3 linked regions of the Tamandua tetradactyla genome follow. The protein of the gene in region 2 interacts with the protein of the main gene of each other region in a pairwise test. Links are inferred from orthologs where the notes say so. Each region holds a gene or a part of one and is shown on either strand. Other genes may lie near its edges. The genes, in order: EIF4A2, PIH1D2 and IGF2BP3.

The links.
Region 1: the proteins of PIH1D2 (region 2) and EIF4A2 interact in binary tests that used the Homo sapiens proteins (3 or more experiments, as listed by UniProt). The two-hybrid records come from large-scale screens. The link is inferred for Tamandua tetradactyla from reciprocal best matches to the Homo sapiens genes PIH1D2 and EIF4A2.
Region 3: the proteins of PIH1D2 (region 2) and IGF2BP3 interact in a two-hybrid assay, tested with the Homo sapiens proteins (2 studies listed by BioGRID and IntAct). The two-hybrid records come from large-scale screens. The link is inferred for Tamandua tetradactyla from reciprocal best matches to the Homo sapiens genes PIH1D2 and IGF2BP3.

What each region holds. Positions count from the first base shown.
Region 1 is NC_135336.1:5,773,868-5,781,701, reverse strand, and holds the start of EIF4A2 (eukaryotic initiation factor 4A-II), read right to left. Parts: upstream 3,011-7,834; 5' UTR 2,711-3,010; coding exon 2,682-2,710; intron 1,829-2,681; coding exon 1,780-1,828; intron 1,687-1,779; coding exon 1,554-1,686; intron 1,444-1,553; exon of another isoform or gene 1,375-1,443; intron 1,274-1,374; coding exon 1,134-1,273; intron 367-1,133; coding exon 198-366; intron 93-197; coding exon 1-92. UniProt on the Homo sapiens protein: ATP-dependent RNA helicase which is a subunit of the eIF4F complex involved in cap recognition and is required for mRNA binding to ribosome.
Region 2 is NC_135334.1:29,177,602-29,185,259, forward strand, and holds the start of PIH1D2 (PIH1 domain-containing protein 2), read left to right. Parts: upstream 1-4,428; 5' UTR 4,429-4,537; exon of another isoform or gene 4,538-4,635; intron 4,636-5,444; 5' UTR 5,445-5,476; coding exon 5,477-5,653; intron 5,654-7,005; coding exon 7,006-7,129; intron 7,130-7,522; coding exon 7,523-7,658. Other genes in the region: uncharacterized protein NKAPD1, read right to left, coding at 2,865-2,933.
Region 3 is NC_135327.1:100,249,290-100,256,489, reverse strand, and holds the start of IGF2BP3 (insulin-like growth factor 2 mRNA-binding protein 3), read right to left. Parts: upstream 3,036-7,200; 5' UTR 2,692-3,035; coding exon 2,517-2,691; intron 1,002-2,516; coding exon 941-1,001; intron 1-940. UniProt on the Homo sapiens protein: RNA-binding factor that may recruit target transcripts to cytoplasmic protein-RNA complexes (mRNPs). This transcript 'caging' into mRNPs allows mRNA transport and transient storage.

The sequences.
Region 1 (7,834 bases), on a different chromosome or scaffold from region 2:
TTTTTGGAAAATCTCATAGATTTGATCCTTAAACCCCCGGCTCAACATTTCATCTGCTTCATCCAAAACAAACATTTTGATCCATTTTGGAGCTGTTAAAAAAATATAAAGGTCATACTATCATCCCTAGATTTTCATGGTTACAATGGACTTTTACCCACCCGACCTAGCAATATTGCATTAAGGACAATACTTACAAAGGTATCTTCTGTTTAACATATCAAACACTCTCCCTGGAGTACCAACAACAATGTGTGGTGCTTCTGCCTGCAGTTTTTGCATTTCATTTCGAACATTGGTTCCACCAATACAGGCGTGACAAGTTGCTCCCATATAGTCTCCAAGAGCCAGAATTACTTTTTGAATCTAAAAATCAAAAGCCTCAATTATTATCCACTAAATTCATAGGCTCTACTAACTTCCAAAACATTTCAACTATCTGGTCTGTAGTTTTGCATGCATAGCACATAACTATCTCCAAGCTTAAAGTGCAGACTGAACAAGTGTTTTAAGATTAAATTTCTGTAAACTGCCTCATTCTTGTACTTGGTCAAAGCTGGAATCCCTATTTCCCGAAAGTACCAATTAGATAATTAAAGAACTGAAAATTTTCTACATTAGTCCTCACGAGTAGGGGGTGATGTAAACAGTCAAACAAGCTCTGCAATTACATCTAATATCATATTATTGATACTTTATAAAATCTCTTCCCATGGGGATACTGTGTCTGGACCTTAATAAAACCTGCTTTATTAGGAAAGTTTACTTCAAAGCCAATATAGCAGTGAGCTTTGAAAACAATAGCATGCAACAGATGCATCACAAACTACTGAGACAGTCAAATAACATGTCACTGCAGTTTTCATGTTGCACAACTGCATTCAAACTTAAAAATGGACACAAATCTAGTGTGCTCGGAATAGAATGCTTTGGCTTATCATCTGTTGGAATACAACCCTGCAAACTGTACCTGTAAACTCAGTTCCTATTTAACTTTCAACAAAAACTCTGCATGCATGGACAACAAGAGTGCCCTGATAGGAGCAATTTATACTGTTTTAAAGTCTTCACAGTTGTGAAACCTGAAACCTATGCAACACGCAAGCAGTTTTTTTGAACTACACTATCAATACCTGTTGAGCCAGTTCTCTGGTGGGGGCCAATACTAGTGCTTGGGTCTCCTTGAACTCAATCTCCAACTGTTGCAGGATGGAAATAGCAAATGTGGCTGTCTTGCCAGTACCTGACTGAGCTTGAGCAATCACATCATACCCTAAAAAAAGTAGGATACATATTTACCGATCCCACATCAAATTGTCACTTCTAGTTCATACCATGTATTCCATTTGGAAAATGAACTATGCCCAAACAAATAAGTGATCAGCAATGAGTATTCTCTTCATTTCAGGTCAGTCCCGAAAGATGATTGCCATCATTTCACTTTAAGGAATACACATACGTGCTAGTCCCCAAGAGATTATTTTCCCTTTTATGGTCCAGGTGCACGCTGAACAATATTCCACTACTTTATGAACACCCGAGTTTTCCTTTACCTTTAATACAGGGAATAATAGCTCTCTGCTGAATAGCTGAAGGCTTCTCAAAACCATAAGCATAGATACCCCGAAGAAGAGATTCTTTTAAATTCATATCATCAAAGTTATCAACAATCTCATTCCAGTTGCTCTGTGAGTTTAAAAAAAAAAAAAAAAGGGCAGGAGTAAATGGGATGAACAAACTCACCTTTCCAGAGTTTCAAAAACCACACTCGTTTCTTACCTCGATGACACCATCGGGGTCCATTCCCTCTGGGCCGCCATGTTCTCTGCTGACAAGAACACCGCGGTTAGAGAAAATCCCTTAAGCCACCGTAACTCAACTGCACCTTAAGGGAATAGCCCTTTTACAGGTAACACTTAACCTCGCCTGTCATCGCACAGTACCCTCTCCTACGTATGTAATTTTCTAATATTTATCCAACTGGAGGTGCAGGTCAAACACACCATGTTCCTTTCCTGAATGGTGAAGTACGTCCGAGGCCCGCACGCGAAGCCCAGACACTGGCCTCTCACTCCAGCCCAGAAGAGAGCTCCCGTTTGGCGGTGGGGCCTCTCGCGAGAGCTTCAACGTTGCGCTCCGCCCCTTACACTGCGCAAGCCACTGTGATTGACACGGTGAAAGAGGCCTGAGGAAGTCTATGCTAACGGTTCGCCCGGACCCTCGTCCTCGGTGCAGCCCCATCCGCCTTCTGCTAGGGCCGAGTGGAAGCTGCCGCCACCCTTCCCCCATTCAAAACCCAGGAACTCAATTCGCGCCGCTGGCCGCACATAAAACTTCCGGTCCCCGTTACACAGAACACAAACCGGACTGCGCCACAGCTTTAAATTAACTAAATGTTTACTGTGCTCAGCGCAAGGGGAGGTGAAAACTGTCATTTCATAACGTCCTTGAAAGGAAAAAAAAGGCGCTTTTTAACCGATCTATTCTCCTGCCCCCGTCTTGTCTCCCTATAATCCGGAACATTAACCATTATGGAAGCTTCCCGAAGGGCACAGGATACTGTACCCCTAAAGATACACCTATGAATTTGGCGTTCCTTACGGGGAAGCCATCTACTACAACCTCCCCTCGTCCCAACACGACCTTCACCACAAACTACTGCCACCAAAAGAGGGCCATACCTGTTGTAATCCGCAGAGCCACCAGACATGATCCGAAAAGCCACTCAGCGCCCGACTGAAAAGACAGCAGAACCGCGCTACCCGTTTTTTATAGGCTCGCGGCCGGAACCCGTTTCCTGCGGAGGAATTTTCTCGTCGCTCTTCGATCGGCCACAAAACTGTGATCCTGAAGCTCCTACCTCATGTAAAACCTTGAGAAAGTACTGGGGGGGAATCCATATTTTGTCATTCTTCGATATTCCAGGGTTGAGGGAATTCCCAGAACCCTTGGGAAGGGCCGGGACTCTTTGCTAAGCGGCGGAAGAATATTGCAGCAAGGGATAGTCAGAGCCCGTTCTCCGTGCCCGCCCTCCTCCTACGGGGTTTCCACGTCCTTGCCGCAGAGGCGGGCCCGAGGGATCGGGGAGGGGCCGAGAGGCGGAAGCGGCTTCCCTGTGGGCGAGTGCGGCCGGGCGAGCACGTTTGCTGCGCATCCTCAGGTGTAGCGGCGACCGCGACACGCGCGTTATGCAGCGAGCCCACGGTCCTTTTACCTGTGTGCATCGCCGTTTAATTTGGTGATAGAAAGTCGCTCGTCCTTTAGCCCAAGGGTTTAGCATCCAGTCAGGTCATCAGAGTGTGAAACTCTTGCTGGGGAAAATGTCGGCATCCCAGCGCGTCCCAAAAAGTCAGGTTTACCAACGAGAAGAAGGTCGTATGTCATTTGCAAGTGTCTCTGGAATAGCCAACTCTGCTTTCCCCGTGTTGCTTCTGGCCTTCTCTCGTTCTCTTTTTAAAATAATGCTGATAGTTGTAACGTAGCAGGTATACGGAATGCCGGGGAGAAATCAGTGTAAACTTTTGTAAATGATTAAAAGCTTAGGGAGAGTGGTTTATAATGCAGGTTTTAAATGGGTGCTTCTAGCACCTTCAGCTCCACGCCGATTTGGAACTAGATGTTTTCATTTCGGTCTATATTGGTCATCTTTTTAAAAGTCTTTCAGTTTTTGAATACTTATGCAGGATGAATGATAAGCTGTTGAAATCGAGAGCGACCGTCTTTGCTACTTAAAGAAATTGCATGATTTTTTAAGCTCCAAAGGTTTTCAGCTGTTGCCCAATCTATCCCCGTTGGTAAAAATAAAAACTACGTTTTGTCGTGTAACTTTAAAGTATAGTCCTTCTGCCAGCACTGCAAGCTAGCATCCCGAATACTCAGGAAAACATTCTCATTAATTCAAAAGGCCAGCCTAAAATCTGATTACTAGAAAAACTGACAACCACTTTTATATATTTTAGAAAATATTTGGCTCTGAATACCACGTGTGTGTTTTGTTTTACAGGACACCATTTATTTTTTTGATATTATGGTGCCAGGAACTGTCACAAAAATTAAAAGGCAGGGAGATGACAAAGTTGACCTGGCCCCCAGTCTAATGACTGCTCATCGTCGGCCCTCAGCCCCGTACGCCCTGCTCCCCTGGTCCCTAGAGGTTTTAAATGGTCTCATCCAAAATCTAAAAATAGCCTGGGATTTAAGAAACTGGTGAAAGTGTTAAATCAGGACAGTGGCAAATCATTTAGTTTTAAGATGAAACCAATCCATCCTAGGGTGAAGTCATAAACAATTAACACCTAATTGCTGAGTGTTTTCTTTAGGTTAAGTGTTAAGGCTAAATGCTACCCATCTCTTAAGAGGAAACAATCAAGAGCTAAATTCTAGAGTTTGTAAGTGCTGGAGAGGTTTTGAAGTAAAAAAAATTTCATTATAGAGTGTAAAGCCAGACCCACAAATGCCTGCAACCCTACACTATATTTCCAATAAACCCTGTGCTTACCAGCTTGCATTTCATCCTTGTTTGAAAAGGTAAACTTTCCTGCTTGCCTAGGATCTAAAATTAGATAGCCTTCTCAAATGCTTTTGGACCAACATGGAATGTGTGAGACCACTTACAGTTGTGATGCTAAAAATTAAAGACTATTTCCTTATATGAGCCATCTAGTTTATTTTTTTATCTTCAGTAGTCTCAGCAGACAATTCTAAACCCATCTAGGCGTTGTATGTCTTGGAACCATCTATCAGTTGTAAGCTGGTGTTTACCAGAGGAACCAAGAAATTATTACAAATTCATCCCTACTTAATGGAAACCCATTACAGCCTTAAAAGAGTATATTTTATATTGGTAGTGACATCTTTCTATAAACGGTGTCTTATCTTAAAGGGATATTTGTGCATCATCTTGGGGCCCATATTATTGTAAGTCCATCAGTCAATTTTCAGTGATAACTACACACTTAAAAAGCAGTACCTTGCCAATCTATTGATAAGCAGAATTTTGTTAAGGTGTATGTTTTGGACCTTTCACTCTTTATTAATTATTAATGTTATTTAGCCAGTAAGTCCCTACATCTATAATTTAACTGATTAAAAAGTATTGCCTAAAGCTAAACAGTGACAGGAGTGCAATTCACCTCTTTTTATTATCTGTTGCTGGAGGAAATCAGTGGCTAAATCTGTTTATGTGTAGAAACTGTCCACAGAAGCAATGTGGAGGGTGGCACGTACTACCATGTCCTTCACAGGAGTTTTAAAAACCATTTGCATGAAAATAAAGACAAAATGGTTGAAGGGAATGGTGAAAATTGGGGGTAGGACCATGGAAAGGCCTGTCGAACTCTGTAAGGACTGGATTTGGGTCCCTTTGCTCAAGGTCATTAAACTACTGTGTAACTAAGAGATGGAGGTATTTCTGCCTCTACCTTTACAGAGACTAAAATAAAGTGACAATATTGTACTTCAAATTAAATTGAAAATTGTGGAATGCATAAAAATCAATGAAAAGATCTGTTCAAAATGCAGATACTTGTGGACTGGGCCCTACCACCCACCCTCCCCCACCCAGATTCACTTGATCTGATCTGAGGTAGGGCCAGCTTTTTATTTGGAAAGTTTTTAAACCTACAGAAAAGTTCCAAGAATAATGTAACAAATGCCAAATTCTTGCTGCATCTACCAATTGATAGGTTTACTATGTTTACTCTTTCTCTCGTATTTATGACTTTTTGCTGACCCTTTTGAGTCACATTCATGGTGACACTTCGGCTTTTATCTTAAAAACGGATATCGTTTCATAAAACCAAGAAAATGCTATTATACCCAATAAATTAACTATTGATATGATGATATTCCCAACAAAGCTATCTATATTCAAAATTTCTGAAATGTCCCAATAATATACTTTATGGCTTTAAAAAGAAATCTAGGATCCCATCAAGCATCACGTATTGCATTTCATTGCCCAGTCTCCTTTAATCTAGAGCAGTAGTTACCCTCTACTATTTTTCTTTTATGACACTGATGTTTTTGAAGATTCCAGACCAGCTTGTTTTTGTTTTAAAATGTCCCGTAATCTGAATTTGTTGTTTTTTTTCGCTTCATTGTTAGATTCAGGTTAAACACATGTTTGGAAAGAATAGTAATTGTAGTTGGTAAAGTTTCCCTTTCAGTTCATTCCATCAGGAAGTACACAATGTCAGATTTCCCTTTACTCCGGTATGATTTTTTTTTTAAATATTTTTATTGACAAATCTTCACACACATACATTTCACCATATGATTTTTTTTTTTTAGGTGCATGGCCCAGGAATCGAACTCAGGTCTCCTGCATGGAAGGTGATCATTCTACCACTGAATCACCTGTGCGCCCTGTGTACAATCAGAAGTTCACAATATCATCATAATGCTGTACATTCATCATCACAGTCAATTTTTGAACATGTTCATTCTCCAAAAAAAATAAAAATAAGAGTAAAAGTAAAAAAGAACACCCAAAACATCCCATTCCCCCACACCCTCCTATTATTCATTTCTTTTTTCTTACTCATCAGTCCATACATTCAATAAAGGGAGTGTCAGTCACAAGGTTTACACAAGGTTTTAGTCACACCTTGAAAGCTCTAAAGTTATTCATGAATCAAGGCTACGATATGGCAGTTCAACAGTTTCAGGTATTTCCCTGTAGCTACCACAGTACACCCAAAACTGAAAAGGGATTTTTTTTTTGCATAAGCGTAACGTCCAAACTCTCAGCCACTGAAACATATCAACTCTAATTCTATATTTGAGCTGCTAAAACCATCAACAACAAGCAAGAATTAATTATATTGGATGACAGTTCAACAGTTTCAGGTATTTCCCTCTAGCTAGTGCAGTACAACCAAAACTGAAAAGGGATATCGATATTCTGCATAAGAATAACCTCCAGAATGGCCACTTGGCTGTGTTTGAAATATCTCAGCCACTGAAACTTATCAATGCTGATCCTTTATCTGAGCTATTAAAACCATCAACAACAAGCAAGAAATAATTATTAAGGTGTATAGGGTAGTGCTGGGCCCTTGCAAGCATTAAGATTAAAAGGGCACAATTCTCACTTTGGATACAGTTGAGAAAGTAAAATAAAAAGAGAAGAAATAACTTAGAAAATTTATCAATTAGGTTAACAAAGATTAGAAAGTTTGACAATACTTAGTGGGCAAACAGATACTGTAGTACTTTTGGTGGACGTTTAAACTAGTGTAATATTTTTTAGGATATTCTGGCAATATGAAGAATTAAAATGCACATGTCCTTTGACCCAACACGTCCAGTTAGGTATTTTATCCTATACGTGAACTATCACAAGAATCCTTTCCTCTACCCTACCTTTACTATATCCTCGACTTCTGCAATCAACAAGCATATTCCCTTTCTCAGTATTTTAACAACAAAATACTAGAAACAAGTAAATGTCTATAAAAAAGATATTGGTTAAATAAATTGTACGCCATGCATATACTTAGCCGTTAAAAAGAGGTCCACTTCTCTAAGCCTACCTATAGTTATGAATAAGAATTACTTCCAGAGGATCTCTTCTATTGCTCAGATGTGACCTCTTTCTTTCTAAGCCCAACTCTGAAATTGAAATTATTACCCTCCCCACTACATGGGACATGATATACAGGGGCGAAAGTCTCCCTAGCAACCTGAGATACGACTCCCAAGGATGAGCCTGGCTCTGACACCTGGTGGGATCAACAATGCCTTCCTGAACAGGAGGTGGAAAAGAATTGTAACAAATAAGGTATCTGTGGCTGACAGAATTCAACTAGAGTCTGGAGGCTACCCTGAAGGC
Region 2 (7,658 bases):
TAAAAGTGCTGAATAGTGTGTGAATGCGGTAAAAAGGAGACATGTAAAGTCACATATGTCACATAAGGAAAGTTGAAGTTCAAAACAGGAGAACTTATAACAAGTGAATCCTATGGTGGACAATTCCTGCAATTAAGTGTACAAATATAAAAAAGTTCTTTCATGAACTAGAACGCATTTATGGCATAAGGAGTTAATAACAGAGGAGTTTATGGGAAAAAACCTATTATAATCTATGGACAATAGTTAACAGTAATATTTTAATACTCACTCATCAAGAGTAACAAACGTACTACACCAATCAATAATAGGGGGAAATAAGGGATGTGGGAGATTTGGGTTTTTAATTTTCATTTCTTTTCTTGAGTGATGAAAATGTTCTAAAATTGATCATGGGCCAGGATATGGACAGATGAGTAAAAAAATATGGCTGAAAAATAAATAATAAAAGAGATAAGGCGTAAAAATAAATTGGGTAAATGGAAGTCAATGAGAGGAAAGGGTAAGGGATATGGGATGAATGAGTTGTTTCTTTCTTCTTTTTATTTCTTTTTCTGGAGTGATGCAAATATTTTAAAAAATGATCATGGTGATGAATACACAACTATGTAATATACTGGGAGCCACTGATGGTACACCGTGTATGGACTGTATGTGTGTGAAGATTTCTCAATAAAAATATTTTTTAAAAAACTGTTCATGGGGTTGATTGCACAACTATATAATGACACTATATGAGCCAGTGACTGTGTATTTTGGATGGTTTGTATGGTTTATGAATATATCTCAATAACATGCCAAAAAAAACCCTGCATATACACACTTATCACTTCATCAATTTTGCACTTGTTTTGCAATGCAACTGATAATCCTATATTTCTAAGATGCATAATTGTTTTAATTTATCATCTCAATTGAATCTTAAGCAATCTTATGAAGGAAGCAAAGGAGGTATGATTATTACGTTTTACTGAGAAGGAAAAAAGCTCAAAGATATTAAATGATTTGCCAATGTCAAAAAATAGGTCTTTAAAGTCTACACTAAGTTTCTTTTCATAATATTGTACTTGTCAAAAACAAAAGAAAACAAACAGCATGGTTATAAGAGAATTTCTTGAAAAGCAGACTACATGCAACATAATAAAAATTAAAAAAAAAAAAGCAGACTAAAATTGCCAAAGAACAAGAATACATTTTAATTCTAAGTCCTCTTGCATCATTTTGTAAAAACTGTGCTAGATCCCCTTTGAAATGTAAGCTTACCCTATAAGTAGCGACAGATTAGCACAATTGGAGATGCTGCTTGGGTAACAGTTATATCCTCACACTACTCAAATTATCAGGTAATATAATAGTAATAACATTTATGATCAAACCAAGAGTAATACAATTCACTGAAATCAAACAAGGATCCTTGGTTCTCTTTTCAGTATACAAGCTTTCCGTAGGTGACCTTATCTACTCTCATGACTTCTAACATTTACCTACATCAATAATTTCCTATCCTTTATGTTCAGCTCCAAGTTTTCTCCTTTCTGCCAAATCTGAATTTCCAACTATTTTTGGATCTTCTATAAGCACCTCACAATCAACATGTTCAAAGTCAAACTAACTACCCACTTCATACCTGTCCCTTTTCTTCTGTTCCCTATCTTAATCAATAGCATCATCAATGAGTAAGAAAATAGAGACAAAACATAAATAAATAATAAGGGATTGGGGAGATGGGATGCCTTGGGCGTTCTTTTTTACTTTTATTTTTATTCTTATTTTTACTTTTTTTGGAGTAATGAAAATGTCCAAAAATCCACTGTAATGAAGGTACAGCTGTACGACGAAACGGTGAGCCACTGATTGTACACTTTGGACGATTATATGGCATGTGAATATATAATATATCTCAAAAAATTGCATTAAAAAAATAGTGGGGTTACAAGGGTAGTTTAGAGGTAGAATTTTTGCCTGCCATGTGGGAAACCCAGGTTCATTTCCCGGGCAGTGCACTCCTCACCCCCCCTCAGAAAAATTCAATAAATGGTGCTGTAATAATGGGATATTTGTGTGGAAAAAAAATGAAATGTGACCCTCACCATACAGCAAACAAACAAACAAAAAATAGCATCATTATCCACCTAGATACACAAGCTGGCCATTCTTTTTACTATTATCCAATCAGTCACCAGGTTCTTTGGATTTTATTTCCTAAATTCCTCTTCTTCAACCCACTGTCACAGCTTTCTTTTGAGCCCTCATCATCTCTCACCTGGAACTGCAACTGACTCCTAATTTGTCTCACTACTGTTTCTACCCATCTGATCTATCCCTACCCAGCTGACAAATCACCTTTCAAAAATACAAATATGATTATGTCATGCCCTGCTTAAAACATCTGATGCTTCTTTATTGCCTAGAGGAAAACACCTAAAATTTCCCAAGCATCACACAGAAGTTTCTTCAAAATCTGATTCTTCAAAATCTAACTGACCACTCAGACCTCATCTCTGTAATTTTCTACAGGTTAGACACATTCAATTTCATTCGGGCACATAATAGTTCCCTCTGTCCAGGAGGATCCTTTACCTGGTAAAACTTGTACCCATTTACCAAGACCTAGTTCACTTTTCAACAACTCAAAAACTACCCCTTCTGTGAAATCCTTTCTAATTCCTAAAAGCAGATTTCATTATTCATCACTCCTTCCTCAGTACCCTAAAGCACTTTGCATATGACTCTATTATAGTATATATCAAAATGTACTGTAATTATCTAATTCATCTTTGTACTCCCCAATTGTGCCAAAATACTGCTTGGCACATTGTATGCCTTCAGTAAGTGTTAAGGAATGGCTGGGTTGTCCCTCCCACCTTATTGTGAGCATCTGTGTGCCGGATGACATTCCTCAGGAGGACCTTCCCCAAAGGAACCCGGGACATTCTTCAATCTGAAATGAATCAATAAATAACATTTAATAACGATTTCTATTACCTTATTTTTTATTACAATTAAATAAAGAAGCATGAGGTAAGGTAAAATCACTGAACTATGAGTCAGATGCCCTGAGGAAGAGTTTTCCTTCACAAATAAAAGGGAAAAATGCCTGACAACACTAGTGTGAGGATGAAAGGAGATAGTGTTCCTTAAAGTTCTTTGAAATTGCTCAAGATGACATGAGCACCATTTCATTCATCCTCACAATAACTATGTGTTTTATATGAGGCAAGTTATCTTCATCCCTATTTTACAGATCAACTTTCCTGAAAGCCCTAACTTGTCGGCCAGAGAGTCTCAGGCAAGCAACGTATATATAAAGATCCAAATTAGAAAATTCTTGATTCCCAAAATTAATTTGCAATGAAGCAAATATCTAAATTTAAAAGTGTCAGTGACTACAAGTGTCAACAAATATAAAAACTGACTCTTGGAAACATCAGATGCAGAGATACCCTAAATTTCTTCCTTCAGAGAAATTTTATTTCCTATTTTGTGCAAAAGCTTCCAACTTCTAGAGGACAAAGATATTAACGTGTTAGCTAGCAGGGGCTTTGTGCAACCACCCCATAGCTCACTCACCCCTCGATCCTGAGGAAATCAGGCATCTTGTTAGTGTGAGACGAAGAACCACTCCATTACAAGATCTCCTCCGACCCAGGAAGCCAAGGAGTCAGGGCTCAAAGGCAGCTCTGCAGCTTCACCCGAGTCCTTCGTGAAAACGCAGCCTTCCCACCGGTTATTATGCCCTCACCCGTGGCCCAGGCATGGCTGCCTTTCCCCCAGCCCAGACCGACAGGCAGTTCTCCCGAAGCGAGGCCGGAGCTTGCGCTGGAGCGGAATCTGGACGGCCCGGTCGGCTTTCCCCGCTCAGGCTCCGCTGGGATGGACCCGGGGACTGAGTTTTGCTCCCCAGATAAGGACGGGGACGTTCTGGATAAGTATGACTTTTCGGCTGGGCCCCGGGAAGTATCTAGAGGGCCTGACGGGGAGGTTGAGGTCTCCAAGAGGAAGACAGAGAAAATACCCCCATCTTTATCACCGGTATCCCCGCCACCCAGCGGCCAACGGCCTCGGAGCTCCCGGTAACCTCCCCTCCAAACGCCCTCCCCACACAAATACACACAAACACACCCATACCGTGCGCCGCAGCCTCGCGTGGCGGGGGTGGGGGGAGGAAGCGATCTGGGAGAAAAAGGAGGAGGCTTCCCTTTCAGGCCGGAAGTCGTGCTCCTGAGAAATTCTTCCCACCAATGGTTGGCACAGAGTGTGTCACAGATAGAATTTACAGGATACTCCAGAGGTCGATGGATGCAAGTGGGAGGCTGGCGCTTTTCTGGAAGAGAAGTGGGTCAGACCCGGCAGAAAAGTGAACCCACGACCGGAAGAGTGAGATTCCGGAACTGGAAGTAAGGAGAACTTTCTGACTGGTGCTTCCCGGACCCAATTAAGCGTTGCGCCCAGCCTGGTTACCCTGGTAACAGGCGCCGCGCTGTGTGTCAAGGATCCGAGGGAAGTGGATTCACCGGCCTCTGGAATGATTGCCCAAAGTTAAGTTTCCTATTTAGCCTTATCTCATACAGTATTCGAAGCCTCAGTCGGTGGTATGGGACTCCTCTCCAGTGGACGCGGAGGGAAGGAAATAGGGTAGGAGTGGGGGACGTGATATTCCAAGATCTAGAAAGGGTATTTTTACTTTCATTTAGCGTTTACCAAGTGTAAATCTATATATATATATTAGTTTACTCAATCCTGCAAGTAACTCCTTGAGATAGGCATTTTATTATCGTCTTCATTTTGAGAATCACCTAATATATATTATTAACAAAATATATATATATATTTTATATAATAATATATATATATATTAATATATATATAATATATATTATATATATATTATATATATATATTATATATATAATATATATTATATATATAATATATATATTATATATATAATATATATTATATATATAATATATATATATATAATGTGTGTGTGTGTGTAACTGCTCAAGGTCATCCATCTAGTGATAGAGCTAAGATTAGAAGCTTAACCTTCTGGCTCCAGATTCCATGCTTTTATCTACTAAGCTATACCGAAGTTTCCAATGGACCTCACCCCACACGCACCTCTGCCAACTCCAGGACTGGGGAGCCGGCAATTAAGGATACACAGGTGTTGGAACAGGAAGAGAGCCAGAAACCCAAACTGAAAGTGTCTCCTCTCCCATCTCTAGGCTTGTGAGATTCCAAATAGGGGTAAGGCCTTATCTTTGATGACTTGAGAATTAGGAAGGGGTGCTGAATAGGAAATAAGGAAAAGATAGCAGCGCTAAGCCACAATCTTTGAGACACAGATGTTAAGGTAGCTGATACCTGTCCTCCCTCCCCCCAAAGTAGAAATGACTTACCCACGCAGATTTTTTCCCCCTTAACTCGTGTCTTTCCACAGGTTTAAGAGACCTGTTCACCATCATTAATCATGGACGCATCCTCAAAGGGTCTGTTTACCCAAATTACTCAATTCTGGAACCTTCTAGATGATCTGGCTGAAAGTGACCCTGAGCGCTATGACAAGTTCATTAAATGGCAGCTGAAAGAGGGGAAACAGTTCTGTGCTGCCCCAGAACCACAGCTGTGTCTACAGACGAAGATCCTGGTGTGTAGAGTTGGTGTCATGGCTGGGAAAGTGCTGAACAAAATGATTCTGGAATAACCAGAGGATAGCATACCCTTAGCTATTGCCACATAAACACAAGAAAATTGAAGAGAAACTGCCATTCTAGAAAATGAAAAGTAGTGTGGAAGATTGTGTTGAGAAGTAAGAGTGGTATTCATACTTGTTATATTTTGGAGATGTCAAATGAGGTCTAGAATGAAAAGAGAAAGTAATGTAATAATTTAAAGGAGAATCATGGAATTGGAGCTTTTTCAAATAAAGATAACTGTTTAGTTGGTGCAGTTAAGAAGTGATGTGATAGGGTCAAGTGAAATAATCTACAATTATTAGATTAGATCAATTCCCTCCTCCCTCACCACATCTCCACCCGAGTTCCTTTCTGGGTTCAGTTACTGGATTCTTAGTGAAAAGACAGCAGCTTTTGGGAAATCAAGAAAGCAAGAGTGTAATTTATCAAAAAACTTTAACCATGTGGATTAAAAATAAATAATAGGGGGAACAAATGTTAAATTGAGTAGATTGAAATACTAGTGATCAATGAAAGGGAATGGTAAGGAGTATAGAAAAAAATAGGGGAAACAAAGGCTAAAATATATTGGGTAGATGGAAGTACTAGCACTCAATGAGAGGGAGGAGTAAGAGGTATGTATGAGTTTTTTATTTCTTTTTCTGAATTGATGCAAATGTTCTAAGAAATCATGGTGATGAATATACAACTATGTGATATTGTGAGTTATTGATTATATACCAAAAATGGGAATGTTTGTGTTTGTATGTTATGTTTAAAAAAATTTTTTTTAATTAAAAAAAAACAGTTTTAACATCTTGTGTCTGATACTCATTTTATCTACAGTATGGACAGATGAGCAAAAAATATGGATAAGAAATAAATAATAGGGGAACAAAAGTTAAAATAAATTGAGTAGATTGAAATACTAGCAGTCAATGAGAGGGAGGGGTAAGGGGTATGGCATGCATGACTTTTTTCTTTTTTCTCTTGTTGGAGAGATGCAGATGTTCAAAAAGATGATCATTGCCATGCCAGAGGACCCAGGTTCAATTCCCGGTGTCTGCCCATGTTTAAAAAAAAAAAAGATGATCATGGTGATGAATACATAACTATGTGATGATATTGTGAGCCACTGATTGTAACCACGTCAAGAACATTTGTGTGTTTGTTATTTATAAACAAACAAAGCAATTAACATGTGAAATGACTAACCTGGAGACTAAAATTCTACCTCTTACAATTCTGTGATGAGCTGCCTTTAGGATATTATTTTAAAATAACAAACTACATTTTGAAATATGCAAAATTATTTGCTTTCTAGAAACCAAGAGAAAAAATACTTTTTATCAACCTATGCCAGTGGAAAAGAATTCCAGCTCCCCAATCAAACACTCATCCAGTACCTTTAAGTATCGGCAGGCCAGAAGATATGTCTGAGACATCAGGTAGGCAGAATTATGGGAGAGGAAGCACATTTGAAAAATCTTTTTGGCAAAACAATGGGCCAGATTTTGATAAAAGACACTTCAAGTTAAAATATTTTATTTGGTGATAATGTAGTTTATGACATATTAGTATACCTTTATGCAAATTGAATGCCTTTTTGTTAAGTTTTTCTAGCAATATGACAAGTTTTTAACCCATGTAAAAATGCCAAGAGATGCCCTAATTGGAATATAATGTATATAGAACCATTGTGATTGCCTTTGAAAAAATACAGGAATGGAATTTACTTTCTAGTTTTATCAAGATTATGATTTAATATATTACCTGATAATATCATTAATGAAAACAGGTCAAGTTGTCTTCATTTCACACCCTCCAAATTAAACACACAGATGTTTTCACAGTCATCGATGTTGCCTACAATCCTGATGTTCTCCAGGCAGCAGAAAAGGACCAGAAGAAAAGGGACCAGCTGATACAAATGGCTATGAAATGCATTGAGGAACGACTCCAAATCACTCTCTCCCA
Region 3 (7,200 bases), on a different chromosome or scaffold from region 2:
ATGAGAAGCAGGAGGCTGAAAGACAGAAACCGTAACACCACCTTGGAAAACCCAGGAAACCACAGGCCAACCCCAGGGCCACTGGGAGAATACTGCACCTTTCCAGTTAGTTACACAGCTGGGATCTGGTCTGCTCTTGAGAAAGGAGCCATTTCTCCCAAATACTCCAAAGGCTAAAACAAAGTCTCCAAACACTGTAAATTGGCACACTACACGTTCTCGAAAAGAATTCCCCGGCTTTTAGGTAGAGCAAACGTTTGATCTTCACGATCTCTTCGTGGTTATTTGCAAGCAAAATTATCAATAAAAAAGGAAATCAGGAAACAAGGGCAGTGTTTGCAGAAACCTGTACAACTCTGGCGTGAAATCGCTTCTGAGCTGGAGAAGCTCAGGCTTTCACTCACGTGTTCCAAACCCGGCTGGCGAGCTAACAGAGAAAAAGCAAATTCCTCTTCCCGCAGACGTGTAGACGGCCTCCCAGACTCAACGCTGCCAACTCCGGCCACCTCCGCCAACACCCGCGCGTTTCTGCAGCTGCTATGCCTATGCTATAGACATCAGAGTCATTCACTGATTCCTAAATTCTGCAGGTTCCCAAAAAACTCCCCCTGGAGTCTTTCATTTCCCGTGGTAGCAATCTGGCCTGCTCTGGATAACACTTAGCTGTGAGAGCTTCCTTGAAAGATTTCTATACTCAATAACAATAGTTCAGTTGCAGGGGATAGAGACAACCCCTCTATTTCCTCGCAGCATTACACTTAGACACACACAGAGACACACACACACACACACACAACCGCAAGGGAAAAAAAGACGAAAAACACCAAACCATACAGCAGCCCGATGAATATAAAAAGTTGTTTTCAGCTGTGTGGCGAGTCTTTCCTTCCAATAACGAATGAGACCAGAATTTAAAAAAACAAAAAAACAAAAAACTCACCTTTGTCTTTTGGGGACCGAGTGTTCAACTTCTATGAGTTTCCCATGCAGTTCCACTTTACCTGCAGATACACAAGCGGTGGGAGACGGTTGCTCGCCGAGCCCGAGGGACTAGCACCGCCTGCACCGCGACGAGTGGCCCTAGAGCCCAAATGACCGCAAGCCCGAGAGCCGCTGGGAAGCTGGAAACAGCGCGTGTGGGAAGCTGACCACCCCCTAGTTGTGTTGTTTTGTTTAATTTACAGATGAGTGGGGAGGGGGCATTAACCGGACGTGCCAACACTTAGACATTTTTTACCCCACCGCCCAGGCCTCCCCCGCCCACTCAAGGAGGTCACCCAACCCCACAACACCCACAAGATGGACGCTGCTCCTCTTCCCATCTCCCAAGACGCTCCTGTATGACAAGCTCGGGACCGGGGGGGGGGGGGGGGGGGGTGTCAATTCCATAGGCTTTCTTTGGGGGGTGGGGGGTCGGGCCCTTCTCCCAAGTTCCTTCTCAGGCCCGCCGGGAACACTTGGCTGTGGGGTTCGGGAGGACGAGGAGTGGCGGGAAAGGTTCGGGGGCCGCAGGATAGAAGAGCGAACTTGCATCTCAGTCTAGAACGAACATCGCGCCTACGACAGCGTGCTTGCTGCATCCAGACCAAGCCGATCAAGGGGAAAGCGAAAGGCACCGGGCTCCCAGGGGGGCCCCTACGCAGCCTTCCTCATTCAGTGTCCCGCCCCAGCCCGCCGCCGGGCCACGCACGGTCTCCCGCCCTCGGCTGGCGTGACCGGCGCGCCGCCACCTCCCGCAGGCCGCAGCCCCGCGCCGCTGCAGTGGGGGTGTTCCCCCCCTGGCCACAGCACGCCGCTCCCGCCCACCTGCCCCTCTACTTCGTCGGACAGGGTGAGGTTGAAAATGGAAACCAGGTCGCACCCCTCCTCCCGCAGGGTCGAGAGGAAGCGCGGGGTAGCTTGTGCAGAGCTCCAGCGCTGCGGCCTCGCTCCGCAGCAGGGTCGAGGCCCCTTTCCTTTCTCCCACGGGCAGGCTCTGAGGCGAGCAAGGGGTGCGGACAGCGAATCCAGCGCCATAAAAAACGACCGGAGGAAGGAAGAAGCAGGCGTTCGCACTCGGCCCCCAAGGCCCGGCACGCCCGAGTCTGGAGAACGCGTCTGGGCCGGGCGGGGCGCGCTGGGAGCGCTGAAGGGGGTGCAGTGCTGGCGGCCGGGCGCCCCCACCCCGCTCACGAACTCCACAACCAGCCCCCGCACCGCTCCTAGCCCCGGCCGGGGCTTTCTTGACAGCGTGTTGCCCTGCACCGGGCAAATGCCAGGTAGCGAGGAGAGCAAGCCGCAGCAGGGAGCGGAGTTGGAGCCCAATCTTAAGAAAGCCCCACGCATGTGGGCGCTCGGGCCTCACCCCCTCGACCGTGCGCTCCCAGCCCTCGCTGGGCCTGGGCCCGGGCGTAGACGCCCCGGCAGCAGCCGCGGGCCTGGCTCCGAGCACCGACCCCGGCGGGCCCGGGCCCGCAGAGCAGAACTGGGGGCAGGCGCCCCTGCAAGGCCAAGCCAGGGCCGCGGTCAGGGCCCACCTGAAAGCGTCTCGATGGCCTTGAGGGCCCAGCTCTCGTCAGGGCAGTCCACGAACGCGTAGCCTGTCTTCACCAGGAAGGGTCCCGACACCGGAATCTTGGCGTCCTTGAAGATAGTTTCTAGGTCCGAGGGGACGGTGTTCTCGCTGAGGCTTCCGATATACAGTTTGTTCATTGTGAAGATTGATTGTTTAAAAAAATGAAGAGAAAAACGAAAAATTAAAACCACCCACGGCGATGGATGGATCCGGCGGGTTTTGTTCTTCTCGTATTCTCGCCTTTAAAATACACAAACACTGTAAAAACCAAGGCCAAGAACGAGGAGCGAAAAATCAGATCCGAAGGTTCTTGTTTCTCCTTTACTAGGTATTAAAAAAAAAAAAAGAAAAAAGAAAAAGCCTTGCTACCAACCCATACGTATCGACGAGTCTTTCCTAACTCTAAAGAGGAGGCGGGATTAGCGAGAGAAGGGAGGAGGGGTGGGGGGAAACTACTTTTTGTCTCTTCCTCCCCAACCCTTTTGGCTTCGGCCAGCGGACTGTGAAAATATCACACTACGTGAGGGTAAGCGCCGCCTCCCCATAAAAAACCCAGAAGGGTGACTGGCAGGAGGGAGGGGAGAGGAGGGGGGGAGGAAGGAGCTGGAGGCGGAAAAAATCCGCTCCGAGTGTCCGGCTTTTTGAATGAGCCACGTGTTCAAACTACAAATCAACGTCTCACGTGAGGAATCCCAGCGCCTCAATTAGAGTGGGTTTCGGGGGAAAAAAAAAGAGAGGGGGGAGGGGAAACGAGATTAAGCGAAAAGACCCTGAGAAGGGGGAGGAGGAAGAGGGAAAAAATGCTAAAGGAGCTGCAGCCGGGGCGCGGTGGGGAGCGGGTTGTCATTGCCCGAGTTTAGAAAGGGTTATCTGATCGGGGCGGTTCCTAGGGGGAGGGGGACGGCCGGATATTTTTTTTTTAAGAAGGAAAGCGGTGGGAGTGCTAACTAGGCGATTCCTCGGCTCTAACTTGCAGAGTTTTGATCATTCGATTTTCTAAAATAGGAAATTAACAAAAGCAAAGAGTCACAATCCCGAACTCGCCTTGTGGCCTTGATGACGGTGTGAGTGAAACCTCGGCCAAGCAGCCAGCGCCTTTCCAGGGCTGGTGGGGGTGGGGGTGGGGTGGGTGGGGAAGGGGGAGACTGGCAGGAACGCCCCACTGTCTCCAGCCTTGCCGGGACGGGGCTCCGGGGAAGTGGGGGCGCGGGCGGCGGGGCGGTGGGGGATGGGAGCCCGCGGCGTCCAGGGCGGGCGTCTGGGCGACCCCTCCTCCGCCTCTGCCGGCGGGCGCTCGCGGCTCCGCGTCTGCTATTGGTTTGAAGAAGGCTCCGGGATAAATGAGGCCGGGGGGCGGGGGCGACCGCTGGTGGGGGAGGGGAGGGCAGAGGGGCGGAGGTTCTTTGCGTGGTGATGGGGTGGCCGGGGCTTTGGAGGCCGGAGGAGAGAAGTCGAAAGTGGGAAAAGTCGGTACTTAAAGGGAAACCATCCCTTCCAGTAGGTCGTGGGGGAGTGGGGGGGGGGGGGCGGGGGGCGGGGGGCGGGGTTGGAGTACGCTCTAATGATATTTAAATCATTTTAGTTAGAGAACTTGGAACTCTTAAAATGGGAAGACAGCAACGCGTTACCCCTAGGTGTTAATGGCGCTTGAGAAATTGTTCGCGTCTCTTTCTGCTGCTGTTCTGCCCACATTTGGCCGTGAGAGTCATTCACAATTTTCCCTGTGTGTAACGAGTACAATGGTGGGTTTGTGGGGGGAGGGTCTGGGCCCGGTGGAGCCTTTAGGAGCCAACGAATTGTGGAATAGAGATGAAGACTACGGAAACGAAGGCAGAACGAGGTTCTTGTGGAAATCTCGAAGTGTCGCTTCATAACTGGGTACTCCACTCAAAGGTTTAATTTGTGCCAGATCCTTGTGGTATATTTTTACAGGTATCCCATGGAAAAATTAAAATGTTAATTTTTAAAAAGCGAATGAAATTCTATATAGCATGGAAATAAAAACAAGAATATTTAATCGCTTGGTACTCTTATTGGTAGAAAAATGTATTGTGTAACAGGAAATATTGTGATTTACACTAGAAACATCTTACTACTCCTTGATGTAATTCGTTTCTTTGACAAAAACTGTACATAACATTTAAACGTATGTATTTTCCAAAGGTAAGAGATGAATGGCATATTATTTTTTAAAGGGATGGGGGAAAGTATTGCATGATGTAAAGCTTTTACATTTTGTCTTTTTAAAGGAATTTATTTTATGATTTTGTGTTATTAAGTAACCGGAAGGTGTCAGATCATCCATTTTAAGTGCAACTCTTTTAACAGGTTTTTTTTTTCCCTGCCAAGCAAACCCAACTTTTTAAACGTAAACTCACTTTCACAATATTTTCATTCACGTTTAATTTGGTGAAATGCTTTTACTTTATGAGCTGAGGGGGACAAATGTGTTCTTAAGTGTTTAGAAATGTATTAATGAACTCTTTCTTGAAAGAACATCTCTAAGTTTATAGTTAGGTTTAACTTTTTTAAAGGGATTTCGTATTTTTCCTTTTCATGTCTTTTTAAAAGAGAAACTTGGTTCTAAAAAAGAAAAACATATATGTATTCTTCCTTATGACTTCTTATGCAAGTGTAAATACTACCAAACTACAAATTTATTTTTCATTTACCTGTTGCATGTGATTAAAAGTTATTTGGAGAAGTAGGTTCTTCATTAATATTTGCTATTCTAAATTCCACTTAAATTTTATAAACTAACAATTCAATTCTTTTACTAATTTTTCATAAGAACAAATTTTATGTTCAGTTTACTTCCAAAGTAAATTAACTTATGGATTGCTAACTGTATTTGCTCTTATTAAAATTGAGAACTAAGGAAATATCTACCTCTGAACCCTGTATAAATCGTTTATTTTCCATAAATACTAGCTCATGCTTGTCTATCATTATCAAACACGTCTAACAGCTGGAATTTAAAACAAGTGTGTGCTACTTAGAAATATGGTCCTGGCACACTTGTGAACTTAATCTGTGTATTATTATAACAAACTAGATACTCCGTATAGGACCTTAAAAACATACACTGGTTACATAAGCTCAGACACCAAAAAGGGGGGTGAATACAATCCACTCCATTTCAAGCATTTGAAGGATATGTATAAACTCAGTGGCTGAGTAAAGAGGATATTGGGTTAGGGGTTTTTTTGTTTGTTTTTTGGCACTTCAAATGCAAAAATATCTCTGGTACATTAAAAATGGATATAAAATCAGTTTAATTTACAGCCTTGTAATGTGTTTCACACCAGAAATTAACAGTTTATGGGCTACTCCAAGTACTTCCTGAAACAGTTGTACTTCCTAATTAATGTTAATTTCACGAAGAAAGGACTCCTACCCATGCCATCTACTCTTAAATGCGACTGAGATTTTCCAATTGGAGCCTGTTGACTCTTTAAACAGCTGCACTCCCCCTTATCTGCTGATCTGGGGGCAAGAAAAATGTTTCTTACAGGTCAAGGTAATATTAAAGGAGAAAAACTATATTAAGAGGTCGGTTACCGTTGCTGTAGCCACAGGTTACCTATCGGTGAAGGTTGAGCAGGCAAAGGAAGGGGAAAGGGTATTCCCACCCCTCCTTCCTCTCGGCTGCCTTAAGGCCAGCCTGGAGCCGAAGCCCTGCGCGCGGGGTGGGCACACAATGGAGGGCCTCACAGGAGGCATTTCAACTAGTTATTTCTTCCACCAGTCCTCCTGGACTCTGATCTGTTCAAACCAGAAGGCATGATGATAAGTGGTATCCTGGCTCAGCCCTCTCTCTGGAATGTGCTTTCATTTATTTAAAATAAAATAAAATGGTGCCCTAGGAGATGAGAAGAGGGATTGTTTCCCTTTTCCTCTGGATCTGACCAGAGAAAGAGGGCGTGATCCCTGCGGTTGACACTGGGCTAGGTCCTTTGTCGCCGCCTGCTCGCCGGGAGAACCTTGACCACTGGGCCGCCCTTTTCCCAGCGCTGCCGCCGGACAGCCGGCTTCTGATTCTGCCTTGGGTCCTAGCCCTCCGCGCGGACCCACGTGGCCGGGTTAGATGTGAGAGCCGGGGGAAGTTTCGCTCACTCTCCCCGCGGCACGTCCACTCCTGAAGTCCTGCTGCCCGCCACGCCCGCCCGCGGGCCGCGGGGACGCACCAGGCGGGGTCCGTTGAACACCCCTCCCGCACCTCCGGCTTCGTTTCCGCGTGTGCGGGGGCAGCCCGGCGGTCAGGGATGCTTGGTACCCACCGAGACAGGGCAAGAATTGGTCGCTGAACCCTGCGCCTCTGCCTAGGACCGGGCGGGACCGCGAGACCCGCGCGCAGAAGTGGCCCCGGGGCGGGGCCAGCGCTCCCCGGGGCGTACTCGCCGAGACCAAGTTAAGCAACCGGCGTCGAGGAAGACACCGCCCCTGGCCGCGGAGGGGCGGGGTGGGCTGCTCCCTCTCATCCGACTGGTGGAAGGGGAGCCTATCACCGCCGGATGCCTGCGCCGGATTCGTTCGTTGGTTTCCATTCATTGGCTCCGGAGCCATCCCTGTATTTCCATCTTTTGTGGCGCGAAAATAACCCTTTACTCCCTCTCGATGGTTTTGTTCTTACTGAGGGGTGGAAT